Linked DNA regions of Drosophila melanogaster. The gene in region 2 interacts genetically with the main gene of each other region. Each region holds a gene or a part of one and is shown on either strand. Other genes may lie near its edges.

Region 1 (3,662 bases), on a different chromosome or scaffold from region 2:
CTATCGCAATCTATTCCGAGACTACAAGCTCTTGGAGACGGAGATAAAACGAGTGAAGCAGGCGGTCAACTGCGCGTCCAGTTCGGCGATAAGTTGTCCACCTCCGAAGAGTGGCGGTCTGACCAATCCCGAGGCGGGGAACGATGTGAGTTGGAAATATACAAATTTTTCACAAATCTTTATATGCCAAAATGCCACCAAACCATGTAAAACTTGAATTTTTCCTTAATTTTCAACAAGCCTGTTCCAAATTTTGACGAATTGGATAACCATTGGACTTCTTAAACGGGCAGCTGGAATTAAAATAATACTTTCTAACTTTATTGTCTAACTGGTGTCTATTGGTGACTTCCGCAGATGGCCAGGCGATTGCAGAACTTGACCAGCACCTCGCAGCGGATTTTTAACCAGAATCAGACTATGAACGATCAGTACTGCAACTCCTTGATCTCAGGAAGTCCGGCTGGAATTGGGCAACCGGTGGCCCAATCCATATTGCGGCGTACTCGATCGTCACAGGATCAGTCGTAGGAGTCGCCAGGATTTGCATGCAACTCCTCCTTCCATTTAAAAATCGTTCTCACCCAAAATCTCTATGCCATCAACACTTTGGAGGCGCGTAACTTGTAAATTGTCTTTGTAAATTGTGGTATAAAATAAAAACTAAGTGCTTGTGTAATCTTGGTAATAATGTGATCACTACTGATACGAACAAGGATACAGATGCTTTCAGCTTCTGTGGACGCAGCGAAGCTATTTGCTTTCATCCTGTTGAATAAGTTTGGTTCTTTCGCTGATTGCTATGAGGGCCATTTTGATTTGAGCCCTTTTCTTGACGCTTTCGTCGCGCAGGACATCGGATTGCTTGGTCAAGATCTTTACGCGTGTGTCGCAGAAGCGTTCCGCATCTGGAATGCTCATATCGAGGAACACATTCTTGCCCACATCGACCAGAATGCTATCCATTTTCCGAACGCGAGCCTGCATGAATACGTTGCTGCCGATGTTGACTTGCGTTTTGTAGCCATCTGGTAGGTGGGTGTCGAAGGTCTGGAGGGTGTTCTTCAGCTGGACGTACTCCATGATCTCCTCGTTGTACTGCCCGATGCACTTTTCCAGCTCTCTGAGATCCTCTTTCAGCACCTCGTTGATGAACTCCTCAATTTGGGTGATTCGCGCCTTGTTGGCATCCTGCCTGTAATTGGGTCTTACACTTGCTGCATTCACTTGTATTTTTATCACTTACTCGGCTTGTCTGTGAGCTTCTGTGTTGTGTTTTGGATTTACTTGCATTGTTTGGGCATTAAAAAGAAATCAAAATTTATTAGGATATCTGGTTTGTTTACTTCTCGTTTCTTCTTCTTATCTTTGCAATAGCGGCAAGTAGATGTTATCGATAGATAGCAGTTGTTTCAATTTAGCTATATTTAAGCTAAATGTAAAGTCTATTAATAAGCTCATAATTCAAGCAAAAAAAAGCAACTAAATATATATAATAATTAATTAATTAACTTTAATAAATACGCCTTTTTCTACATTGACAATATGCATAGCAAAGTCACAAATTTTCGAATTCAGTATTCATTATTTTGCTGGTGAGTTTTAGCACTTTTTTTAGTCACATAAGTTGGCACGCCCGCAATACGATTTCGCGCAATTTTAACTAAACAAATTGTCGAAATGTCGCTTAAAAAGGCTCTCGACGATTGCATGATCGATTTCGATCGCTGTGTGCTGGTCACCGATCTTCTGGAGGAGTACAAACTGTCCTACAAGGAGGTGAACGATGTGCTGGAGGCCTACATCAAAGAGCAGGAACCTGCCACAAAATTCGAGAAGAGATTTCTAGTCCATGGCAAGCGTAAAACGCAAGGATCCGATTCCGGCGAAGATCTGTACTCTGTGGTGCTGGAGAGCAGGATGCAGGATTGGCTGGCCAAAGTCCAGGATGCGGAGTCTCAGCTGTATAGTGTGAAAATAGCCGGTGGCACCAAAGCGCCGGCTGCGATTTTCAAGCCCATGCAGCATTTGGAGGTGAAGTTGGCAAAAGTGGAGCAGCGTCCTGGAGCGGGAAAGATAGTGCCCAGTGCAAATGGGACGACTCCCCACAATGGAGTCAAATCTGAACCCACTAAATCGGAGCCATCAAAGTCTGCGGTTAAGTTGGAGCCTTCAAAATCTTCACTTAAATCAGAGCCAGCAAAGTCGAAGGCGGAAAAGCCAGTGGCCAGCAAGTCCTCTCCGGAGGATAAGAAGACCTCGCCCAAGGAACAGGCCTCTAAAGCCAAGCCTGCAGCAGCCAAAAAGGGTAGCATTAATAGCTTCTTCACAGCGGCGGCCAGCAAGCCAAAGGATGTCAAAGCCACGCCCAGCAAATCGACGTCCGGCACCGTGGACAACTTCTTTAAGAAGCAACCGGCAGGCGCCAAGAAGTCGCCACCGGAATCCGAAGATAAATCGAAGAAAGATGCTTCCAATTCAAACAAAAAGGAAGCCTCGAAAAAGAAATCCCCCAGTCCCACCAAAAAGCCAACAACGGCAAACACTTCCATGCAACTGTTCGACGAGGAGAGTGCCGAATCGTCCGACGAGGAGGAAAAGCTGGACATGCTGCGGCGGAAGGTGATCGAGTCGGACAACGACTCCGATCAGGAAAAGGCCTCGTCCTCCAAGCGGCGACGAATCAGCGACTCTGAGGACGAGGAGCAGCCGCCCAAGAAGTCCGCCGATGAAGAGACCATCGCATTGGATGAGAAAATGGATACGGAACCGGCCAATGAAACCTATCTGGATGAAGATGGCTTCGTCATTACGCAGCGTAAACCAACAAAAGCCCAGCCTGCCAACAAAAAGGTTTCCCCAAAGGCTGCTGCTCCCGTCAACAAAAAGAAGTCACCGCCTTCAGCCGCGAAAGCTGGAAAGGATGCGCCGAAAACCAAACAAGCTGGCATTATGAACTTTTTTTCCAAGAAGTAAATGAAAGCAAAGCATGGAGATGTTGCTAAAGTAAGGGTTAATTGTTAAGCATGGAAACAGTTAATGTTTTTAATAAATTTATTTATGATTATTGAAAATAATATATATTTTATGATGGGTTTACAAAAAAATAGCCATCAGCCCATATGAAAAAAACAGTTTGCGTTTGTTGTTAAAAAGAATTTATTGCATTTGTTTATAGCTGCTAGAAGTTGTTTGAGTATCTTGTTTGTAATTTGTATTTCTTTATTTATATAGATTCGCGTGTCTGATTGTGTGTGTGTGTGTGTGTGTGTGGGCGTGTCGGTGTGAATTTTGCCTGGCCTATGCTTTATCAGTGCGTGTTTTTGTTTTTGGTTTTGTATTTGTTGTTTTCGATTTCGATTCGAGATCGAAACTCGTTATCTCCGCTATCGTTATCGTATTTCAAAACACTTTAAAAAATTAAGGCGAGGTTTGAAAAAACACTTGTTTGTTCATATAATTCGAATATTCGTTAATTTAAATTGTTCATTTGTTGTCTTGTTGGTTTTTCGTTTTTCATTTTTAATTTTTGGTTTTTGGTTTTTGGTTTTTGCTTTTCTGTTTCTGCAGTGATTGCGTTTGATTCCTATCTGATTTTTAAGCATTAAAAGCTTACAGTCAGGCTGCCCGATGGCAAGCAAATACATAATATGTATGTAAGT
Region 2 (7,876 bases):
GATTTCGACCCGGCACAAGAACGAACATGGAGTCCGTGTCGCCATAGACGACACGCACCTTCCACTCCTCGTTGTTCTCCACTAGTTTGATAGCACGCTCCAGGGTCTCCCGTCCTTTGGAAACTACAGAATCGCCCACTTCCACTGAAGGCATTCGGCCACTGAAGTTAGCGGCGGTGTAGCCATAGGTAACATTGGCCATCAGCTTAAGGCCCAGCTGCCGTGAGTGAAGGATCCGCTGAAGTGCAGAGCTGTCCTTATGGAGCTTCATCGACTGTTTGACCATTTGGCGCGTGTCCAAGATCTCGGTGAGCATGCGCGGCAGGATGCCCTCGCGCACTTCACGCTTCACGAACACAACGCCGCATGGCGAAACAGTAACCAGATCGTGCTCCAGCAACTTCTGCAGCATCTGCCGCGAAACTCGGAGCTGCGACGCGCCAAATTCAAAGGGCGAACTTCCACCCAGGTGCTCTACTCTACCCAAGCACGTGGAGAAGCAGTAGTTGTAGGCGATGATCATGCTGGGGTACAAGCTCTGAAAATCAAGCACGATTAGGGGATCGGCATAGAATCGTGACTGCGGTTCCATTATTAGCGCCAAGTACTCGGGAGCTCTCATATGAGCGCGAGCCTGGACGCTGGGTGAAAGTGGCACCAGGTTCTTTGGCTTGGCGATTCTATGAAGACAGAGAGTTCAGGGAGGATGCAACATATTTTGCCTGCGCTCAAGGGTTACACTCACCTCAGCATCATGCTTTCCACGCGAAACTGTGAGCCGCGCGACAGCACCTCGTAGAACTGAATGCCAATGAGCTTGGCCATTTCGCTAGTCCGTCCCAGTAAGTCCAGCTGATCCAGGAGAGTTAAGGTGCCACGCACACGCTCCAAGTAATATTCCATTACTATCCAGCGGGTGCAGGGTGAGCCGAACCATTCGGTGAGGGATTTGGCAGTGTGCCAGGGACATCTCTTATGCAAAATGTGGTACATTACGTTTTCGAAGGTGTACGACGTCAGTGCAATCTCGGAGCGCATCAGGCGCCATACGTCCAGCAGAATGCGGCCGCAGAGCTTCATTTCCACATCCAAATCGGTGAACTGCTCCCGATCCTCGTCCACAAAGTCCCGGACCTTCTGTGTGGGCACTCGGGACAGCAGAGGAGCGATGTTGAAGCACAGATGCTTGGCCCGATCAATCACATAGCCCCAAGAGGACATCTCGATTTCGTACCCTGCGTATATGTCCGCATCCCACCGTTCACACAAAGCCAGCAACGCCTCAAATGCCTCCGCTTCACTGGTCACTACTTGCACCTCAATATCGCGATCTATACCATGAAAAGGTCCTTCACTTAGCAAATCCTGGACAGTGTTCACCATTATATAGCCGCAGGCTTTGCTAGGCAGCTTTTCATCCGGCAAACTGTGTTCGATAGCATAAAACAAACACCGAATCTCGTCGTGCATCGGATCTGGTTGGAGATCACCTCGCGTGGACACAAACACCTCTAACGTTATGATTGTCAGGTGGTTGCAATCAATGTCGGCTTTGGCCTGCTGCAGATTCTCCAAATTAACCTTGAACCCGAACGTGTTGTCCAAGGTAGCGTGGCTAAGTCCAAAGCTGAGGTCGTGCTGCCTATCCTGGCTACTGCCCTCTAACTGGCGCAGAAAGGAACTACGATCTAGCTCCGCCTGGGCCGCACTACTGGAGACGCTCTGTTCGCTGGACTGCGAGCTTGGTGGTTCCTCGTCCTGGCTTCCTATGAAGCTGAGCCTAGTTCCGCGCTTAAGGCGACTCTTTCCTGTTTCTCTGGCTTTGCTACTGGTAGGGGTTGCCTTGCATTTATCCTTAGCTTGGGACAAGGGCGTTAGACTTAGACTGCAATCGAGTTCCTCACCAGCATCTTCATCGCCACTTCCGCCATCGCCTTCCTCAGCCTGCAGCATCATAGTGATCTTCTGCCGCTTGATCTTGATGGGGCTGTCTATGTCATCAGAGGACTTTTTTGGTTCCTCTCGTTGACGAAGGAGTTCCTTGGCTTTCAACCAGATCTTGGCTTCCTGCCAGGTGGGTGCTAGTTGTGCTGGCTCGATTGCTATTCTTTGTTGCGTGCTGAAATACTCCCGTACTTTTTGTTCTCCCCGATGTCGCTGCAACATTGCCAGGCCACCAATGGCTATCAGTTGCCGACGACGCCAGGAGGCCAGGCCACGATCATTGCCCAGTATGCTCTGGAAGGGATCACAGTCATTTAGCTTGTTCCCCGGAATGTGGAGCACCAGGAAGCCCACCTCCGTCACCTTGCTCACATCGGAGGGATTGCTGTAGTATGGCTTTTGGAACTCGTACTCGGGTATGTCCATTTTACGGCTACCGCTAACCACTTCATCGTAGGATGGAGGCAGCTCCAAGGGGGCAATCACGAACGAGTTGCTATCGGGAGATGGAGGAGCAGACCTAGGAGAATCCATATGTATCTCGGGGCTATCCAAGAAGTCACTGAAGACCGACGGACTGTTCACAATCAGCGAATGCTCATAGAAACTTCGCATCAGCTCCGGTGTGTTGCTCTCATTGCTTTTGGGACTTAGCTGAGGAGTGGTCTCAGTCTCAGGGGGTCTTATGCCTGAACTGGGAGTAAATTGTTTGTTCAGCAACTCCGACCGAATGCTCCATCGAAGGCGTTTCAAGTTGGGTGTTTTACGAAGTTTGGTGACTATATAATCGCTTTCCGTGTCGGATTCGATAGCCTCATCATGGCATGGACTAAATGTGATCTCCTCCGTGGAGTTTGCTGAATCTCCAGGCGAAATACCAGCTGGTTCCTGTGGAATTAGCTCACGTTGTAACTTTTCGTCACAGCTTCGTGCAGTTTCATCAGACTTTTTTGGTTTACTTTCGAGATATTCGATTTGTTCAGAAACAGAGTTTTCCTGCTGATGCGGACTCTCTGAGTTAGATGAACTATCTTTTGTTGCTTTTTCCAATGCAACAGTTCCATTCATGCTTGTTTTAGTATTTTCTTTGGGACTTTGGGATAGTCTGGCTTTCTTTTGAGGTCTATCCAAACTTGTAGTCGTCACTCGTGGCCCAGTTGTTTGTATTTCGCTGGAACACTCATCTGGATTTGCCGAATTAACCTTATGGCGAGCACTGCGACGCGGCTTCAGCTCATCCAAGGCACTTCCTTCTGACCTGTGGGGTCTCTCTATCTCACAACCGGCCTTGGGTAGACTTTCTATATCTTGATTCCGAGTGCTCCATCGCGTCTTTCTTACTACTTTCTTTGGTGGTAATTGCTTGCCGTCCTCTGTTTCGAACATGTCGCTCAAGCCAGGATTTCTGTCCCTCGGCGTAAGGGAACAAATAATGTGTGTTTTGTCCAGATTGCTAGTTGATCGTCTGGTACTCCTAACTGGAGTACAACTATCGGGAAAACAATAATATAAATCGCCTTGCCATAAAGGATATCAGTTAACCATACTCGTTCTTTAAGAGCACAAAACTGTCCTCGAAACTTTTCCGTCGCATCTCCGACATGGCTAGTTTTTTGCGCAATGAGATTTCTGGCCTACGAACAAAAATGTTGGTCATAGAAATGTTGGTACATATGATGAAAACAAAGAATTTGATTACCGAAGTGTTCCCGTTCCGGTTCCTTGGTCTAGCTGCAAACTGAGGCGTGGATTAGATGGTCTCCCTGCGAATTCATCGTTGCTTTCTGCAATTGGTTATGATTGCAAAAAAAATTCGTGTGATCGTTATCAATTCTACCCACTCTTTGATGAACTGCTTCCAATTGTCAAAGCCAGCGGCGCATATTTCTTGGCTGCACTGGTTTTCGGAGTACGTGGCGATTTGGGAAGACTTTTCTGACCTATTGGCGTTGTTGGAGTCTTTGAAGGACTTGACTTTGACTTAGAGCTGATCGATTTAATGGGGGTCCTTTGTAGGCGATCATCAGCACCATCAATTTGGGGCAGTTTACTAGATGCTTTCAGTTCCTTCGATTCCGCAGGCTGACTTTGTGTTAACTTAAGCAACAACTCATCGACATCGTCTAGGACGGTAGAGAAGTCATGTCGGGTTTCTTGGTCGGCATCCTCGTCGGAGTCAACATCTTCGTCGAAAAGAGCAGCAGTAGCTGCGGTCTCCTTGTCCAACAATTCGGGTGTAAGTTCGACTACAAAAAGAGATCAGTGTAAAACATTTATTAAAAAACAACTCCATTTCACAACAACTCACACTTTTTATGTTGCGACAATGGAGCCAACGAACTGTCTAAGTCCACATGCGATTCACTTTCATTCTGCTCCTCCAACAGCTGCAACGCGTCCAAAAGTTCCAAATCCTCCTCCCTCACTGAAGCAAGGAGAAAACAACTGGTTTATACCAAAGTGCGAGTTGTAATTTTGGCAACCGTGTACTCACAGGTGGCATCATGGGGTATCGCTCCATGAGGCTGTGTGAGGCTCAGTATTAGTTCCTCATCCACTACAGTTTCGTCCAAGTCATCGGACTCATCCTTGGAGGTTGACAAACTGACACTGCTGCTGTAGCCGCAGGTAACATGGTTTTGTATGAAGGAAGCATTAACCAGCAGTTGCTGCTGATCCTGTGAGCATTCCTCCGGATAAACGGCGTTGGCTAGAAGTTTTTGCAAGTTAAACCTGCGTTTCTGTGCCTTTGTGCCGGGCATGGTGGTCTGCATGGTTGCTTGGGGAAGGATTGTCTGATCCGACAACGTTTGCTCGGACAGTGTGGACTGCTCCAGTGTCATCAGCTTGCTCTCCAGAGCGGTGCGGTAGAAGATATCGCTTTCGGCGATTTCAATTTGATGCCGCTCCTGTGTTGGCGGTAACTCCAATACTGGCACCTACGATGGATGGACAAGGCTGTAGGATTTATCAATACAAGATGTATTCCCGGATTACCGCTTCAGCCTTCTCCTCATCGCCAGCATCGGTGTGCTTCTCGACAAGTTTCTGTCGGCGCAATTTCTCATCATTCCAGATGGCCTCGATGCCGGGGTTAGTGTGGTTGCTCTTACTCTTCGCCACCAGCTGGAACCGATTCAGTATGAAGTTCGAGCTGACATCCACCTCTAAAGCACTGCAGGCCACTTTCTTAGCGGTTGTGATGTCCAGAAGCTGCGCTTGCTTGACATTTGCATAGGGGATTACTAAAGGGTTAGTTACGGGTTAGTTAGGAACTTAAATAGATGATGTATCCAGCTTGCCGTCATCGTCATGGTTGCGCCGGAACTTGAGAACCTCCAGCGGGACATGCACATAGCTCATACCGTACAGATTGTAGTCGATCATAAACTGCAGAATGTAGGGCACATGCGACTCGTGCGGACTGAAGTTCTTGCTCAGAATGGCGCCGCTTTGGAGAAGGTTGGCGGCGCGGCGTACGAACCGGGGATTGAACATGTAGATCTTGAGGAACTGGTGTTCCACTCGATGGTAGCCATAGAAGGGTCTGTAAAGAGAGGTCGGTTAGAGATTTACGCCAAGAAGTCGTCCAGAAAGAACTCACATGCCCTTGACCAGCTGAATTTTGAACACATGCTGGGCGTTGGAGCTGCCTTGACCCAAGGATATGTTGATGGCCTTGTCCAGGTGCATGGCCATCTGCAGGATGCCCCGCTCCAGGGACTCAAAATCCTTCTTGTCATACGGAATGTATAGATAGGGGAAAACTCCGTGTACATGCATGCAGGTCTTCTGGCCTCTGGAGTTGCCGCCAAACACTCGAATCACTGGCACCTGGAAGTGGAATGGATCGTTATACCAGTTTTTACTGTGGTGAAATAGACCGGCTCACCCGCTTGATTTCTTTGCCGCGCAGCTCCGAATAGCACGGATCCATTCCGAACTGCGGCTTCTCCATATAGAAATCCGCGATGACCAGCCGGACGGAGTAGACTCCATCGATTGCCTCTCCTGCGGCTGCCATTTTCGCCAAAACTCAGATTCGTTTTCGCAGAGCTATTTGTTGTCAATTCAATTCAAACTAGAGTGACCATGTATCGAAAAGTATCGATCTATCGATTGTTGCTTTTTGAATTCAAACTAAGGGCAAAAACGTAAAATAAATATTTTTAAATTGAAAGAAGAGCTCTAGAACTTAAAGAACTAACTTGGCAACAATGTTAAGAAAAACTTTAGTGCAAGATGAAGGAATTTTATACTTGACAATGCTAATTTTTGTATAAACTTAATTACGTAAAGGGTCCTACAACCCATATATATCATTAGTTGTTAGAGGCTCTTTTTAAGGCGCTTATATAATCAAACCCTTTGTAAAAATTAAAGTTTTAAATGGAATTCTAATCGATTTATTTCACATTAGCTTTATTTAAGTGTGACCTACGCAGAAAGCTAGCGAAATACTCATCAACCCTCCCCCGCCATCGCAGCGCCATTCTCCTAATTTGCGAAAAAAGCTCCGGGAAAAGGAAAAAGCGGCAGTCGTAATAGCGAACTGAAACTGAACGAGAGTAAAAGTGAAAAGACAGCAGGAACTCAGCCATGTCGAAGATCGGAATTAACGGATTTGGCCGCATCGGCCGCTTGGTGCTCCGCGCCGCCATCGATAAGGGCGCCTCCGTGGTGGCCGTCAACGATCCCTTCATCGATGTCAACTACATGGTTTACCTGTTTAAATTCGACTCGACTCACGGTCGTTTCAAGGGCACCGTTGCGGCTGAGGGCGGATTCCTGGTGGTGAACGGCCAGAAGATCACCGTGTTCAGCGAGCGCGACCCGGCCAACATCAACTGGGCCAGTGCTGGAGCCGAGTATGTGGTGGAGTCCACCGGAGTGTTCACCACCATTGACAAGGCGTCCACCCACTTGAAGGGCGGCGCCAAGAAGGTCATCATCTCGGCCCCATCCGCCGATGCGCCCATGTTCGTGTGCGGCGTTAACCTGGACGCCTACAGCCCCGACATGAAGGTGGTCTCCAACGCCTCGTGCACCACCAACTGCCTGGCTCCCCTGGCCAAGGTCATCAATGACAACTTCGAGATCGTCGAGGGTCTGATGACCACCGTGCACGCCACCACTGCCACCCAGAAGACCGTCGACGGTCCCTCTGGCAAACTGTGGCGCGATGGACGTGGCGCCGCCCAGAACATCATCCCGGCCGCCACCGGAGCCGCCAAGGCTGTGGGCAAGGTCATCCCCGCCCTGAACGGCAAGCTGACCGGCATGGCTTTCCGCGTGCCCACGCCCAATGTCTCCGTTGTGGATCTTACCGTCCGCTTGGGCAAGGGAGCCACCTATGACGAAATCAAGGCTAAGGTCGAGGAGGCCTCCAAGGGACCCCTGAAGGGAATCCTGGGCTACACCGATGAGGAGGTGGTCTCCACCGACTTCTTCAGCGACACCCATTCGTCTGTGTTCGACGCCAAGGCTGGCATTTCGCTGAACGATAAGTTCGTCAAGCTAATCTCGTGGTACGACAACGAGTTCGGTTACTCCAACCGCGTCATCGACCTGATCAAGTATATGCAGAGCAAGGACTAAACTAGCCAAAACTATCGTACAAACCCGGCGCCCAGCAGCTGGTCGGGAATCACTGTTGCATAATCCGCAAGGGGCGCAATTGAGGATGCTTTTTTTTCAAATGCACAAAATAGCCATAATTACGCAAAGCTACATATTTATTGTTGTTGAATAAAGTATCGCCCTGTTACTGTATTTAAATGCCAGCTATTTGAAAAATAAAACTTGTGCATCGAATGAAGAACGTTGCTTGTGTAAGCCCAAGGGCGTGTGAAGGTTATATCGGGCGGACTTGCTGAGATATGCAGTGAATACACAAATAAGTATCTGTGCTTCGCCTGGGAGAGTCATCCCA

What was found. Genes that interact genetically often act in the same process or in processes that back each other up.
Region 1: of PolZ1 (region 2) and PolD3, changing one enhances a phenotype caused by changing the other (phenotypic enhancement), as found in Drosophila melanogaster (one study listed by BioGRID).

Annotation. Positions count from the first base shown.
Region 1 is NT_033779.5:15,254,282-15,257,943, reverse strand, and holds PolD3 (DNA polymerase delta subunit 3), read left to right. Parts: upstream 1-1,639; 5' UTR 1,640-1,680; coding exon 1,681-2,976; 3' UTR 2,977-3,125; downstream 3,126-3,662. Other genes in the region: yuri gagarin, read left to right, coding at 1-145, 358-531; Uxt prefoldin-like subunit, read right to left, coding at 754-1,195, 1,247-1,293. UniProt on the Drosophila melanogaster protein: Accessory component of the DNA polymerase delta complex and possibly the DNA polymerase zeta complex. As a component of the delta complex, participates in high fidelity genome replication, including lagging strand synthesis, DNA recombination and repair.
Region 2 is NT_033778.4:7,791,788-7,799,663, reverse strand, and holds the start of PolZ1 (DNA polymerase zeta subunit 1), read right to left. Parts: upstream 6,040-7,876; 5' UTR 5,969-6,039; coding exon 5,837-5,968; intron 5,779-5,836; coding exon 5,549-5,778; intron 5,492-5,548; coding exon 5,247-5,491; intron 5,190-5,246; coding exon 4,942-5,189; intron 4,884-4,941; coding exon 4,439-4,883; intron 4,370-4,438; coding exon 4,253-4,369; intron 4,191-4,252; coding exon 3,786-4,190; intron 3,729-3,785; coding exon 3,644-3,728; intron 3,579-3,643; coding exon 3,492-3,578; intron 3,434-3,491; coding exon 746-3,433; intron 681-745; coding exon 1-680. Other genes in the region: Gapdh1 (glyceraldehyde 3 phosphate dehydrogenase 1), read left to right, coding at 6,544-7,542. UniProt on the Drosophila melanogaster protein: As the catalytic subunit of the DNA polymerase zeta complex, plays a crucial role in translesion DNA synthesis (TLS) and various DNA repair mechanisms. Lacks an intrinsic 3'-5' exonuclease activity and thus has no proofreading function.